Linked DNA regions of Yarrowia lipolytica. The protein of the gene in region 3 purifies or fractionates together with the protein of the main gene of each other region. This does not show direct contact. Links are inferred from orthologs where the notes say so. Each region holds a gene or a part of one and is shown on either strand. Other genes may lie near its edges.

What was found. Proteins that work in one complex are often made in the same cells at the same time.
Region 1: the proteins of YALI1_D26360g (region 3) and YALI1_E39693g purify together in Saccharomyces cerevisiae (affinity purification with mass spectrometry; 5 studies listed by BioGRID, with this or other methods). This does not show direct contact. The link is inferred for Yarrowia lipolytica from reciprocal best matches to the Saccharomyces cerevisiae genes LPD1 and KGD1.
Region 2: the proteins of YALI1_D26360g (region 3) and YALI1_B13179g purify together in Saccharomyces cerevisiae (affinity purification with mass spectrometry; 3 studies listed by BioGRID). This does not show direct contact. The link is inferred for Yarrowia lipolytica from reciprocal best matches to the Saccharomyces cerevisiae genes LPD1 and PDX1.

Annotation. Positions count from the first base shown.
Region 1 is NC_090774.1:3,967,747-3,973,652, forward strand, and holds YALI1_E39693g (uncharacterized protein), read left to right. Parts: upstream 1-1,605; coding exon 1,606-1,797; intron 1,798-2,565; coding exon 2,566-5,388; downstream 5,389-5,906. UniProt on the Saccharomyces cerevisiae protein: The 2-oxoglutarate dehydrogenase complex catalyzes the overall conversion of 2-oxoglutarate to succinyl-CoA and CO(2).
Region 2 is NC_090771.1:1,316,139-1,319,517, forward strand, and holds YALI1_B13179g (uncharacterized protein), read right to left. Parts: upstream 1,815-3,379; coding exon 519-1,814; downstream 1-518. Other genes in the region: YALI1_B13150g (uncharacterized protein), read left to right, coding at 1-151. UniProt on the Saccharomyces cerevisiae protein: Required for anchoring dihydrolipoamide dehydrogenase (E3) to the dihydrolipoamide transacetylase (E2) core of the pyruvate dehydrogenase complexes of eukaryotes. This specific binding is essential for a functional PDH complex.
Region 3 is NC_090773.1:2,634,112-2,638,383, forward strand, and holds YALI1_D26360g (uncharacterized protein), read right to left. Parts: upstream 2,257-4,272; coding exon 2,166-2,256; intron 1,921-2,165; coding exon 512-1,920; downstream 1-511. Other genes in the region: YALI1_D26394g (uncharacterized protein), read right to left, coding at 2,849-4,272.

The DNA.
Region 1 (5,906 bases), on a different chromosome or scaffold from region 3:
AGTTTCGAATGTGATCGTACATGATGGAAGTGTGCTATTCAGAGCCTCAGAGCCGAAGAGAGTTTCTATCGAAGCACAGACAGCTGTTAACTGAAATCGGGTAATAAGGAGTCGAAAATAGTGTGTTTGAAATGTTGAATTTCTGACATCTGGGGTAAATAACAATAATAACAACCGGAAATACTGTTGACTAATGACGGTAAGTTTTTTGGAGAAATTGTTTCCGAGGGGATAACGTCCGTTTGAGGGATATTTTCGGATCTCCTACAAGTACTTGGTCCAGTTGTGCAGTGCTCATTTAAAATACGAACAAAATTACTGCCGTTATCTCCGCTGCAGTATGTACTCGTAGTAACGCTATAAAAAACTTATAGCAACGTACTGTAGTGTGAAAATAGCAGGGGGACAGGTCAATTGCTCCCCCCCCGTAGAATATGTAGCTAATGCCACCGTCTACTTGTGGCTAAAAGATCGTTGGGTGTAGTTTGTCGTCAACTGGTCCCCCCGCATCTTTCCGAAATTCTATCCTCAAAGCTATCTTGCATGTACGTGTCATCTGTCCACGGGTGATCATAGTTCTCTTCTAACGAGTCTGTCTCAAAATCACGTATTACTCTCTTCGCACTATAGCAAACCTCGGAATAGCAACTACAGGATGGGATACAGATTTCACCGTAGAAGAGTCCCAAAAACCCGACGATACTCCACCTAACCGCCCCCCCTTACAGCCTGGACGAGTTTTAATATTCCCTTTTAGCTGTAGCCAAGCCTCTGGTTGGGGCATAGACTGCATAGTTCCGAACTTCTCCGCATCACGTGACCAGAAACTCCCACATCTCAACTTACATATCTTACATTGTCCTTACTGGTCGGGCCAAAGAGAACACCGCTGCGCTTCCATGCTGCGTGCCGTTACATCCCATGATACAAAGCCGTGCTGCAATACACTTGTACAAGATAATCCTTCGCCGCACAATTGCATTGCACAACTGTGGGGTAGCACCTGGTAACACAATCCACACCGTGGGCGTTATCTTTCCCATCGCACACGCGTTGGTACTCTTCCTAAACCACCTGAAATACACAAAGCTGGCCAATGGCTATCTCCGCAACTTGCTCTATAGTATAGTTATGGGCGCAACCTTGTTACCATGTTTGAAGGAGACACACTGCCATTGCATAACAGGGAGTGAAGCAAAGTCGGCGGAAACCGTCGGAATATCGCCAAGTGGGGCTCGGGAGAAGGCTAGAGGGGTCAGTTAGACAGCTATGCCCTCACAGCGCTCAACGGGTCTGGTCCGGAAAATTCTGCAGAGTTATCCCGGGTGCTGGCCGCTGGAAAAATAGAGTTTCACAAGAAACTGTAAAACTGGGGCCGGTTCTTCCGGTTTATATAAATATTTGACGCTCTCCACAACTTACCCCATAACGAGTTAACGTGAGTAGTACAATGGGTGTACTTACGGTCGAAACGATACCTGCGGAGACGGCCAATTACGACATTTGTGGCCGCTGGAGTGGAATTGATGGAAAAAATCGCTTGCGATTCGTTTGTTTCGATTTGAGAGGGTCTGGAACCCATGATTAAATCCCGCTAACAAATAGATGCTCAGACACGCTTTATTGAAAAGGACCCCCGTCCTCCCGCGACTCACAAGTCGCAAGGCCTTCGTGCCATTGATCCAGAAACGAAAGTACTCTGATGACGTCTTCCTTACCACCAACGCCGCAAACTACATCGATGAGATGTATGCCGCATGGAAGGACGACCCCAAGAGTGTCCACGTCTCTTGGCAGGTGAGTGATAGTGGAGGAATCGGAAGCTGATGGCTTGTACTACGACTTGTGATGGTTATTTTTGGTTGTTTTGGTGGACATTCGACACTTGGCGTGTGAAGTGATGGAGTTGGGCCCAAGGTCATGGAGGCAAGTGGCTTATTTGCAACCGAACTGTATCACGGATACAGTGAGAGTGTACAGATAAGTCGTTTTGTTGACACGACACCTACGAATGGTTGACCCCTTCCTCCTTGCTCCAGAATGCACTAGCTAGCACAATTGAGAGACCTGCTGTTGCATTTTTCTGCGCCTGCCTGTAGCAATTTGTATGTCTCTCGATTGGCTCAGTACCTCTGCATCTCTGCACACTAGACCTGCCCTTCGTTTGCGGTTGCCACCACTAGACTCAGGGTGTCTTCCCGCATTGGGAGTTACGGGTTGAGCCGGAGCATGGAAAAACGTGCATGCAGGACGCAGAATTGTTGGTCGGAACGGACTAACAGGTGTATGCGCCGAGAGAGATCCCGGCGTGTGTGATTAGTAAAGGTTCTGGACGTGTTTTTGACATACCCCACCTGACTATTCCTCAATTGTCCATTCCTGGGCTTTTTGGATTTTAGTTTCATTACTTTTTGCACATGCTTGGTGTTTATCTCTAACTCCTGCCCCAGCAAGTCCCAACTGCACCTTAATTTAGGCCTCCCTGACTTAACTAAATCCCAACTAAACCTACCCAGCAAATGTATCAACCAGAAGCACGGCCGCAATTGACCTATACTAACTCAGTCTTACTTCAAGAACCTGGATGGTGGCCTTCCTGCCGACAAGGCATTCTCTGCCCCTCCCACTATTGTGCCCTCTCCCTCTGGAGGTGTTCCCACCCCCGCTGCCCCCTCCGGCGCTCCTTCTGACATCACCAACCACATGAAGGCCCAGCTGCTGGTTCGAGCCTACCAGGTCCGAGGTCACACCAAGGCCAAGATTGATCCTCTTGGAATCTCCTTTGGCTCCGACAAGAACAAGAAGCCCCCTAAGGAGCTGACCCTCGAGTTCTACGGATGGACCGACAAGGATCTCGACACCGAGATCACTCTCGGCCCCGGTATCCTCCCCCGATTCGTCGAGAACGGTAAGAACAGGCGAACTCTCCGTGAGATTATCATGGACTGTGAACGAATCTACTGTGGCTCCTACGGTGTTGAGTACATCCATATTCCCTCTCGAGAGGAGTGTGAGTGGATCCGAGACCGAGTCGAGACCCCCAAGCCTTACAACTACACCCCTGACCAGAAGCGACGAATGCTCGACCGACTTATCTGGGCTAACCTCTTCGAGACCTTCCTTGCCTCCAAGTTCCCCAACGACAAGCGATTCGGTCTTGAGGGTGCCGAGACTGTCGTTGTCGGTATGAAGACTCTGATCGACCGATCCGTCGATGCCGGAATCGAGGACATTGTTATCGGTATGCCCCATCGAGGTCGACTCAACATGCTTTCCAACGTTGTGCGAAAGCCCAACGAGTCCATTTTCGCTGAGTTCCAGGGATCTGCTGTCTTCGACGAGGGTTCTGGAGATGTCAAGTACCATCTGGGTGCCAACTACCAGCGACCCACCCCCTCTGGAAAGAAGGTCAACCTCTCTCTTGTCGCTAACCCCTCACATCTTGAGGCTGAGGACCCCGTTGTCCTGGGTAAGACCCGAGCTATCCAGCACATGAAGCATGACGTCGGCACCTTCGACAAGGCCATGGGTGTGCTCATGCACGGTGACGCTGCCTTTGCCGGCCAGGGTGTTGTCTACGAGACCATGGGCATGCACTCTCTGCCTGCCTACTCTACCGGTGGAACCATCCACATCATCGTTAACAACCAGATTGGTTTCACCACCGATCCTCGATTCTCCCGATCTACCCCCTACCCCTCCGATCTGGCTAAATCCATCGATGCCCCCATCTTCCACGTCAACGCTGACGATATGGAGGCCGTCGACTTCATCTTCAACCTGGCTGCTGACTGGCGAGCTACCTTCAAGTCCGATGTCATCATCGATCTTGTCTGCTACCGAAAGTTCGGTCACAACGAGACCGATCAGCCCTCGTTCACTCAGCCTCTCATGTACAAGAAGATTGCCGACAAGCCCAACCCTCTTGACATCTATGTCGACAAGCTTCTCAAGGAGAAGACTTTTACCAAGGAGGACATTGAGGAGCACAAGCAGTGGGTCTGGGGAATGCTCGAGGAGTCTTTCAAGAAGTCCAAGGACTACGTGCCCCATCAGAAGGAGTGGCTCGCTTCTCCTTGGGACGACTTCAAGACCCCCAAGGAGCTTGCCACCGAGATCCTGCCCCATCTCCCCACATCTGTTGAGGAGAAGAAGCTCAAGGAGATTGGAAAGGTCATCTCCTCTGTTCCGGAGGGATTCACCCTTCACCGAAACCTCAAGCGAATCTTGTCCAACCGAGGCAAGTCCGTTGAGGAGGGCCATGGCATTGACTGGTCCACTGGTGAGGCTCTTGCCTTCGGTACTCTGCTTGAGGAGGGCCACCACGTCCGACTTTCCGGTCAGGATGTCGAGCGAGGTACCTTCTCTCAGCGACACGCTGTTGTCCACGACCAGGTTAACGAGACCACATATGTTCCTCTGAACCACCTGACCAAGGATCAGGCCGACTTCACCGTCTCCAACTCCCATCTTTCCGAGTACGGTGTCATGGGCTTTGAGTACGGTTACTCCCTGGCTTCTCCTGAGGCCCTTGTCATCTGGGAGGCTCAGTTTGGTGACTTCGCCAACACTGCCCAGGTCATCATTGATCAGTTCATTGCCTCCGCCGAGACCAAGTGGTCTCAGCGATCCGGCTTGGTTCTGTCTCTGCCCCACGGATACGATGGACAGGGTCCCGAGCATTCTTCCGGACGAATTGAGCGATACCTGCTGCTCGGAAACGAGGATCCTCTCCACTTCCCCTCTCCCGATAAGCTTGAGCGACAGCACCAGGACTGCAACATCCAGATTGCTTACCCCACTACCCCCGCCAACATCTTCCATCTGTACCGACGACAGATGCACCGAGCTTTCCGAAAGCCTCTGGCCTGCTTCTTCTCTAAGAACCTGCTGCGAAACCCCATGGCCAAGTCCGACCTCTCTGAGTTTGTTGGTGAGTCTCACTTCCAGTGGGTCATTGAGGACGACCAGCATGGCAAGACCATCAACAACAAGGAGGGCATCGAGCGAGTTCTCTTCTGTTCCGGCCAGGTCTGGACTGCTCTCTTCAAGCGACGAGAGGATCTTGCTGACAAGAAGACTGCTATCATCCGAATCGAGCAGCTGCACCCCTTCCCTTGGGAGCAGGTCCGAGAGCTTCTGGACTCTTACCCCAACCTTAAGGATATCTGCTGGGCTCAGGAGGAGCCTCTTAACGCTGGTGCCTGGGTCCACATCCAGCCTCGAATGTACACCACCTTCCAGGCTACCAAGAACCACAAGCATGCCCACATTAGATACGCTGGCCGAAAGCCTTCTGCATCTGTTGCTGCCGGTACTAAGAAGCTGCATCTTGCTGAGGAGGAGGCTCTTCTGAAGCAGGCTTTCCAGCAGGAGGATAAGGCCTAAGTGGTCTGTTCACCCTTATGAATGTCATTTAATTGTATATGAAACGCTTGTTGAAGTGTATGAACTGAGAACAAAAAGTATGTATTATTGTAGCGAGTGACTTCGGTGTATTCAGCCCATTTTGTAACGGAACAGAGGAGATATATTGTACAATAAATGTGAAATATAGGACTGGAGAGACAAGAGGTTGTAGACTATGAGAAACTGCGAAAAGCCAGAGCCATATTAGCAGCTACAAGCAATGTCGCTGTCGATGTAGCCCATGTTTACCATGACTGTAATATAAACAGTAAATTCGACTGGTATCGGTACCAGTAAGCAGACTACTGTAACAATAGAGCGTACGTTTACCATAGGTAATCCTACTGTGTAGACTTTGGAGAGTGGTTAATTGGAGCAGACATTATCTACAGCTAAAAACACAGCTACAAGTAGCTCTGACAATGCTCGGGTCTTCCCATGGGGCTGTACCTATGAGACTAGCCCTTGAAACAGGAGAAGTAATTAAACCATAAGCC
Region 2 (3,379 bases), on a different chromosome or scaffold from region 3:
CAACACCCTCAAGGCTAACACCGTCGGGCTTGTGGAGGACATTAAGGAGAAGCGAAAGGAGGACAAAAAGAAGGCGCTTGAAGAGCCCCAGACAAAGTTGACCTGGCAACAGAAGCATAAGCAGAAGTTGAAGAACAAGAAGAAGCAATAATCTTGTTGTGTATATAGTAACTGATTAACCGAAGAGCACGAGGGGAGCGAAGATCATGAGGCGTAGCAAATCATCCTTACCCAACGCACTTGTAGCACGAGCTAAGGGAATGCTCTGTAAAATTGAAAACGAATACCCTTACTACGAATGTATCATGTAAGAACAATACTACATACATACTGTACATATGTAGTTGACCTGAATTACTGAGTTACAGTCATACCATCAAGGAACGCTACAATAAGAGCACCCCTTAGCAAATGCTCTTCACCACCATTCACATGTTTACCCTACCTATATATATCCTTCGTTATACTGTATAGCACACTCTATGTGCTGTATCATCTTATGCTCGACATTGTCTCTCCTACTCCTCCACAGTCAAATGATACTCCAGTCTGTTCAAGAAAAGCTTGGCTCGCTTCTCGGCACCGGGGACCTTGTCGTTGACTGTTACATCGACCTGCACAGTGTTGGAAGGCACCTGGACAGCAGCCTTTCGGGGCTTTCGGTCCGACAGAATGTCATACAGGTCGGCCCCATTGGAGAGAGCCCGCTTTGTGGACTTGGGGTAGATGACGTTCACGTCGTAGAACTTGGTGCCCTTGGCGGGGCCGATGATAGCCTCAAAGTCGGGGTCCACGTTGGCGGATCGGCGGGGCTTTGCGAGCTCCACGGCGTCGTATTTGGCCAGCTTGATGGCCTGCTTGACGATTCGCTGCAGCTCGAGCTGGTCCTCGGGCTCAAAGTGGGCCACATCGAGGAACGAGGTGAAGATGACAGGCTCGGGAGCAGCCTTGGTAGCAGGAGCAGCAGCATCTCCAGCCTTGGCAGCCCCAGTGGGAGCAGCAGCATCGCTCTTCTTGGCGGGCTTGATGTTGGACAAGTCGAGATGGGATCGCTTGTTAATCTCGTCGGCAACAGCGCCAGGAGAGCCCTCAGGGACCTTTCCGAGGTAGGCGAGAATGTCGCCCTTGAGAAGCCGGCCGTGGGGACCGGTGGCCTTGATCTTGGCAAAGGCGTCCTCCTTGGAGATGCCATTGGCCACAAGAAGCGAGGACACCGAAGGGAGAAGGGTCTGTGCGGGGTTAGCGGGGGCAGAGTAGCCGGATGATGAGGGAGCAGAAGACGATTCGGTCTTGGGAGCCTCCTTGGGGGTAGAAGGAGCCTTAGGGGCAGGGGCCTTAGCCTCCTCCTTAGGGGCCTCCTTGACCTCCTCCTTGGCCTCCTCCTTGGGAGCAGGCTTGCCGTCCGACTCGACAGGAGCAGGAATATCAATGGTTTTGATGTCATCTCCGGGCTCAGCAATCACAGCAATGGTGTCTCCGACCTGAATGTCCTTGTCACCGTCCTTCTTGTAGATCTTGGCCATGACTCCATCGTCAGCAGCCTCGACGTCGATCTGGGCCTTGTCGGTTTCGATCTCAAGGATGACATCACCAGCTGAAAACTCGTCGCCCTCCTTGACCTTCCACGACACAATGCCTCCCTCGGTCATGGTGGGACTCATGGCTGGCATGGCAAAGTTGCTGGCCTGATAGAGGCGAGGGGTGGTGTGGAGCACTGGGTTAGTAAAATGACGGCTGTGGGTCCGATCGGACAACAACGGAACCAATACACGGAAACGACTAGCCGCAGCTAGGTCAGGAAAGGATAATAGCATGTGTAAACCTCACAGTTTAACACACAGCAAAGTCCCGGTTCAGCGTCTCAGATATGATTAAATGCCGAAATTCAAGAGCCAGAAGAAAAAACCGAAGAGAGCAGAGTAATGTCACTTGTACCACTCAATTGCAAGTATTTCACAAGAGGACAGAAGTGGAATGGGTGTAATTTGTTCCATATTAGTGGAAGTCATCAGGGGTGGATCAGAGATCAGATCGGAGAGTGACGACATCGAGAAACACGGAACCTGTGCAACGGTCGATATTCACTGGCACAAAATGTCAACCCTCAAATCACCCTCATAATAACACCATCTGTATCAACCATCATAGATGTCTCAATGTAGACTCAACCCGTCAGATATTGAATGTGGATACCCATAACCCCAAGAAGATGCACTTGCCGACAAGAGAATCAAAAATCACCACAACAAACCAAACCGATCAATCAACCTCATCTAACGCACTCCCTTTTCTCTTGTCCTCACCCATCTCCATTCTGCATTGCTGATCTCCTTCAGTGTCCAATATCTGCGTACTGTATGCAACGAATAGCAACAAATGGCAACAGTGTAGTAGAGAAACGAAAGCTGTTGGAAACGAGACGGCCTGCTCGCAATCACACGGCCACGTGAACCACAATCTACTCTGTATCTCCGTCTCCTCCTTCTGTGTCTCCTTCTTCGACTCCCGCCCAGCATCACACATGTCACTAATAATGCACTCAAGGGGAGCAATTGAACGGCAGTCACGATGTGGAAAACATCCATCTGTATGTGACTCGTCGCTGCCAGCAATACTCACGTCGGGCCCGGGGAATAACTCTCAACAGTCGGTTCATTGTGTGCCTCAAAGGTGTCGTTATTACGTTCGGACAACTGACGTTGGTCTCGACATTCTGTTGGGACGGAAAAACAACGCACCCTAACCCTCGACTAATTTTCCGGTCTAGCATCTTGTTGGGAGTGGGGGTCGAAAGAGATTTATTTGATGATTTATTATAAAAAAAATTAAAAAAATGAGACTTGAAGAATTGAAGAAATTAGCAAGCTGGACCACCGATCAAAGGAGAAGATCAAGTATGATAGAACAGACTTAACAAAGAAGCTGTGGACCAATGAGTAGCTACAAGGTTCTTCCACTGTTACTGGTGCATGCTGTGTGACATCTACATGCGTGTGACAACTGCTCAATATGAAAAAATAAAAATTTGAAAAGTTTTGAAAAAAAAAAAAAAAAAAAAAAAAAAAAAAAGAAAAACTTGCGGCAGAATAACGACGATTTTGCCGCTAAAGAGTTGCTTGGAAAGATCAGGCTTGTTGAATCAACTCACCAAATCGGCCTATGTAGCCTGGAATTGATTCACACTTGTGGGACTTCCCGACATACGTACTGGTAGTATGTCTATGTATAGCCCCTGAGAAACGACAGCGCTTGTCTCTGACACTTTTATTTCGAAAATTCGAGGTAAATGATACAAGAAACCAATTCGAAATCGCAAGCTGATTAAATGATACTATTATGTCTACCCTTGCTACTGCCGAATGCCTCAAGATGTGGACTT
Region 3 (4,272 bases):
TGCGAAGAGATATCAAGTAACACCATTCATGAAAGATAATCGCAAACTCAGATCAACTGGTCTAATGATCCACTACAAGCAGCAAAGACAAACCCATTGACACTCAGACACAACACAATCATGCCTCGTTGCTTCTTCCACCTAACTGTGTCATGCTTGATCCGATATGACTGCCGTCTGTTCTACATGTACAGTAAGATACTATACACTCGTGCAGCTGGAATTCGTACTTCGCGGAGGAGTATCAGTGGAAGCACTTCTTCAGCCGTTTCTTTAGACATTCACACACCTTGATAGTGCACCCCAGATCAGCTCTTGATCCAAGAACATTTCGGCTTTACCAGTTGGCACTTTGTGATCTACGACCAAATGAAATCTACTTGTACTTGCTCTAGTTCGCCCGTCACCTACGGCCATGTACTCTACAAGTTGGCTTGCGACCTGACCTGGCCACTCGCTACCATACAGTTCAGTCATTATTATCTACTACTAAAAGCACCACTAAAAGCGCTTAAAAGTGGATGGCCTTGTCGTAAGTGGCCATGGCGGCCTCCTTGAAAGCCTCGGAGAGAGTGGGGTGGGCGTGGCAGGTTCGAGCAATGTCCTCGCAAGAAGCACCGTACTCAAGGGCAAGAACACCCTCGGCGATCATCTCACCGGCGTTGGGGCCAATGATGTGGATACCGAGAATTCGGTCAGTCTCCTTGTCAGCAATGAACTTGACGGTACCCTCGGTGTCGAGGTTGGTCTTGGCTCGAGAGTTGGCGGCAAAGGGGAACTTGCCGACGTTGTACTTGATGCCGGCCTCCTTGACCTGCTGCTCAGTCTGTCCAACCCAAGCAACCTCAGGGTGGGTGTACATGACAGAGGGGATGGCGGCGTAGTTAACGTGGCCGTGACCGGTGGCAATGTACTCAGCGGTAGCAACTCCCTCCTCCTCGGCCTTGTGGGCCAGCATGGGGCCGAAAGTGACGTCACCAATGCATCGGATGTTGGACTTGTTGGTTCGGTACTCCTGGTCGATGATGATTCGGCCCTTGTCGTCCTTCTCGACACCGGCAGCCTCGAGGTTCAAGCCCTCGGAGTAGGGTCGTCGGCCAATGGCAACGAGCAGAACGTCGGCATCAAGGGTCTCCTTGTCGCCCTTCTTGACGTTCTCGACCTCGACCTTGACACCGTCGCCCTCAATGGCACCGGAAAGCACCTTGGTGCCAAGCTTGAACTTGATACCCTGCTTGGTGAGCATCTTCTGGGCGGCCTTGGCGATCTCGTCGTCCATACCAGCGCCAATGGCGTTCTGGAACTCGACAACAGTCACCTCGGAGCCGAGTCGGGACCAGACGGAGCCCATCTCGAGACCAATGATACCTCCTCCGATGATGACCATCTTCTTGGGGACGGCCTCGAGGGCAAGGGCACCAGTGGAGGAAACAATCTTCTTCTCGTCAATGGTGATGCCGGGGAAGGGGGTGGGCTCAGAGCCGGTGGCAATGATGATGTTCTTGGCCTTGAGGGTGACGGCCTCGCCGCCATCAATGGGGTCGACCTTGACCTCGGAGTCGGACACAAAAGAACCGGCGCCCTTGTAGTAGTTGACCTTGTTCTTCTTGAACAGCATCTCGATACCGCCGGTGAGACCCTTGACGGAGGTCTCCTTGGCCTCCTGCAGCTTGGCGATGTTCATCTTGACGTCAGAGACCTCGATTCCTCGGTTGGCGGAGTCGGTTTTGATGGCGTGGTACATCTGGGAGTTGTTGAGCAGAGACTTGGAGGGGATACATCCGACGTTGAGACAGGTTCCTCCGAGGGAGCCTCGCTTCTCGATACAGCCGGTCTTGAGGCCGGCCTGGGCGGCCTTGATGGCGGCGACGTATCCACCGGGGCCACCTCCGATAACAAGGACATCAAGCTCCTCGTTTGCTGTTGTTAGTATTTGCCTTGTGTGGGGTGGCGGACGCTGGCCGGAGGGGTGCAACGGGGCGACTATGGTGCAGACAAAAGACAGTGGCACAATTCGCAATTCAAAATGTCCAATTGACACGTCTCATGTCCTTTTCTCATTGCCTCTTCCCATGGATCCTTGTGTGTCGTCGCGGCCATGGTGGTATCGCATCGGGGGAGTTTTTTCCCCGTAAAAAAGCCCTCCCTGTCGCACAGATACTCACCGGAGCTGTAGCATCGCTGGAACTGGGTCACAGCTCGGGTTCGGGCAGCAACGCCGAACTTGGAGGGAAGAATTCGAGTGGTTCGCAACATTGTCGTGTTGGAAATATGTGTGAATTTCGGAAGGGTCTGGGTGAGTTGTTAAACTATGCGTCTCTGTAGGTGCGCTCCTCGCAGCAGACTTACCCTGCTCTTGTTGGGTCCGGAACAATAGTCAAAGGCAAATGTCACATTTGAGTTCACACACTCTCCTGCCAGTACATACTGTACATACGTGCACTATGACAGGTCCGTGTTCGCGCGGAGGGTCTGAGGGCGGCGCTGGTGGCGTTTAAGAATTGGCGCACAAGATACTCACTGTGTGTGTTTGTGATCGTGGCCTATCATTGCGGAACACGCCCGTCTATATATACTCTTCTGTAGAGACACACGGACCCCGTGATGGTGCTTAGCAATCGCAGAGAGTCAAAACTGTTTAAGCCAACGGAAGCTTATTTTAGGTGAAATGCGCTAATACCCGGTTGTAGCCGTAAAAAGCGGTTGTTGGTTGGACGGGCGGAAAATGGGGTAAATGAGAGGGAAAAAATTCAACAAACAGACAGAGACGAGAAGGAATTAAAAAAATACAGTATCAATTACATCTACCTGATGGCGCGGGGGGTGCGGGGGGTGCGGGGGGCGTGTGTTAGAACAAATCACTGGCGCGCACTCGCTTTCGAGGCGGCGAAAGACCTTTCTCCGGAGTAGGAGCACGGCCCTTGTTGGGGCTTCTACAAGGACTTCTAGAAGGACTTCGAGAGGAACCTCCAGACACGCTTGGAGACCTGCTTCTAGAATAACCAACTCGTCTGACCGGAGATCTCGACCGCGAATAACTGGCGGCCCGGTAACTGCTCCGGCCTTTAGCCCCTTTAGATTTAGGTCTCGGAGATGGCGATCGGGAATAAGATCTCGAACGAGAGTATGACCGCGAAGGCGAACGGGAATAAGATCGAGACCGCCGTCGACCACGAGGCGGAGAACCGGTTCTATCCCGAGATAGAGATCTTGACCGTGACCGGGATCGTGGCCGGGATCGTGGCCGTGACCGCGAACCAGGAGACCGAGTTAGCGACCGCCTTCTACTTCCTACACCTCGTCGTCGTCGTCGCCCCCGATCATCCTCAGACACTGAGTCATAGGAGTCATAGGAGTCATAGGAGTCATAACTATCGTAGGAGTCGTAACTATCGTAGGAGTCGTAGGAGTCGTAGGAGTCGTAGGAGTCGTAGGAGTCGTATGAGTCATAACTGTCGTATGAATCGTAACTGTCGTACTCTCGCTTCTGCTCTTCCTCCTCCTTCTTCAGCCTCTCCTCCTCCTCCACCAGACCAGGAAGAATCTCCCGCATACCATCTGTCAAAGGACCAAGATTAATGGCAGTGAAATAGTTGATGGCAAACCGAACATGAGAAGCATTCGTCTTGGGGAACATACCGGCAATGTACTGCTGCACAAACGACTTGGAAAGTCGCTCCTTCAACAGATCCATTCCCAGCTCCTGACGCATCTCGGTGAACATAATCTTGAGAAAGATACGGTTCGAGGGGTTCGAGTCCTCTTCAGTCAGAGAAACAGCCTCCAAAACCTTCCACGACAGAGAATCTGATGCCAACAGGTACCCAAAGAACGTGGCAATGTTTCTGATCTGATTGGGCTCGTATCTGTGGATAACCGAGTAAAAGAACCCAAAGGTGTTCTCAAAGTTGGTTCTCCATTCCCGCGACAGTCTCAGAAGCCGCTCTCCTGTACCTCCGTAGATTTTGTTATAAATCTTCTCTTGAGCACAACACTCCACAAGCATGTTCGTCACCTCCTGGGTCCGCTTGAGACGCAGAATCAGAGCCTGGTCTTCGGGGAGACCCTCAGGGATCTCAATAACCGTTCGAGACAGCTTGACAAGCTTGTGAACGATTTCGTCGATCGACATGGTCGACATGACCGTCAGATAAATTTTCTTTCGCAACGTAGCAAGCTCTGTACCCGTGAGGTCTCGCACAGCCGAGGTAGAGGCTTGAGCCTCCTCCTCTTCATCCTCCTCCTCCTCCTCTTCATCATCTGCCTCTTCCT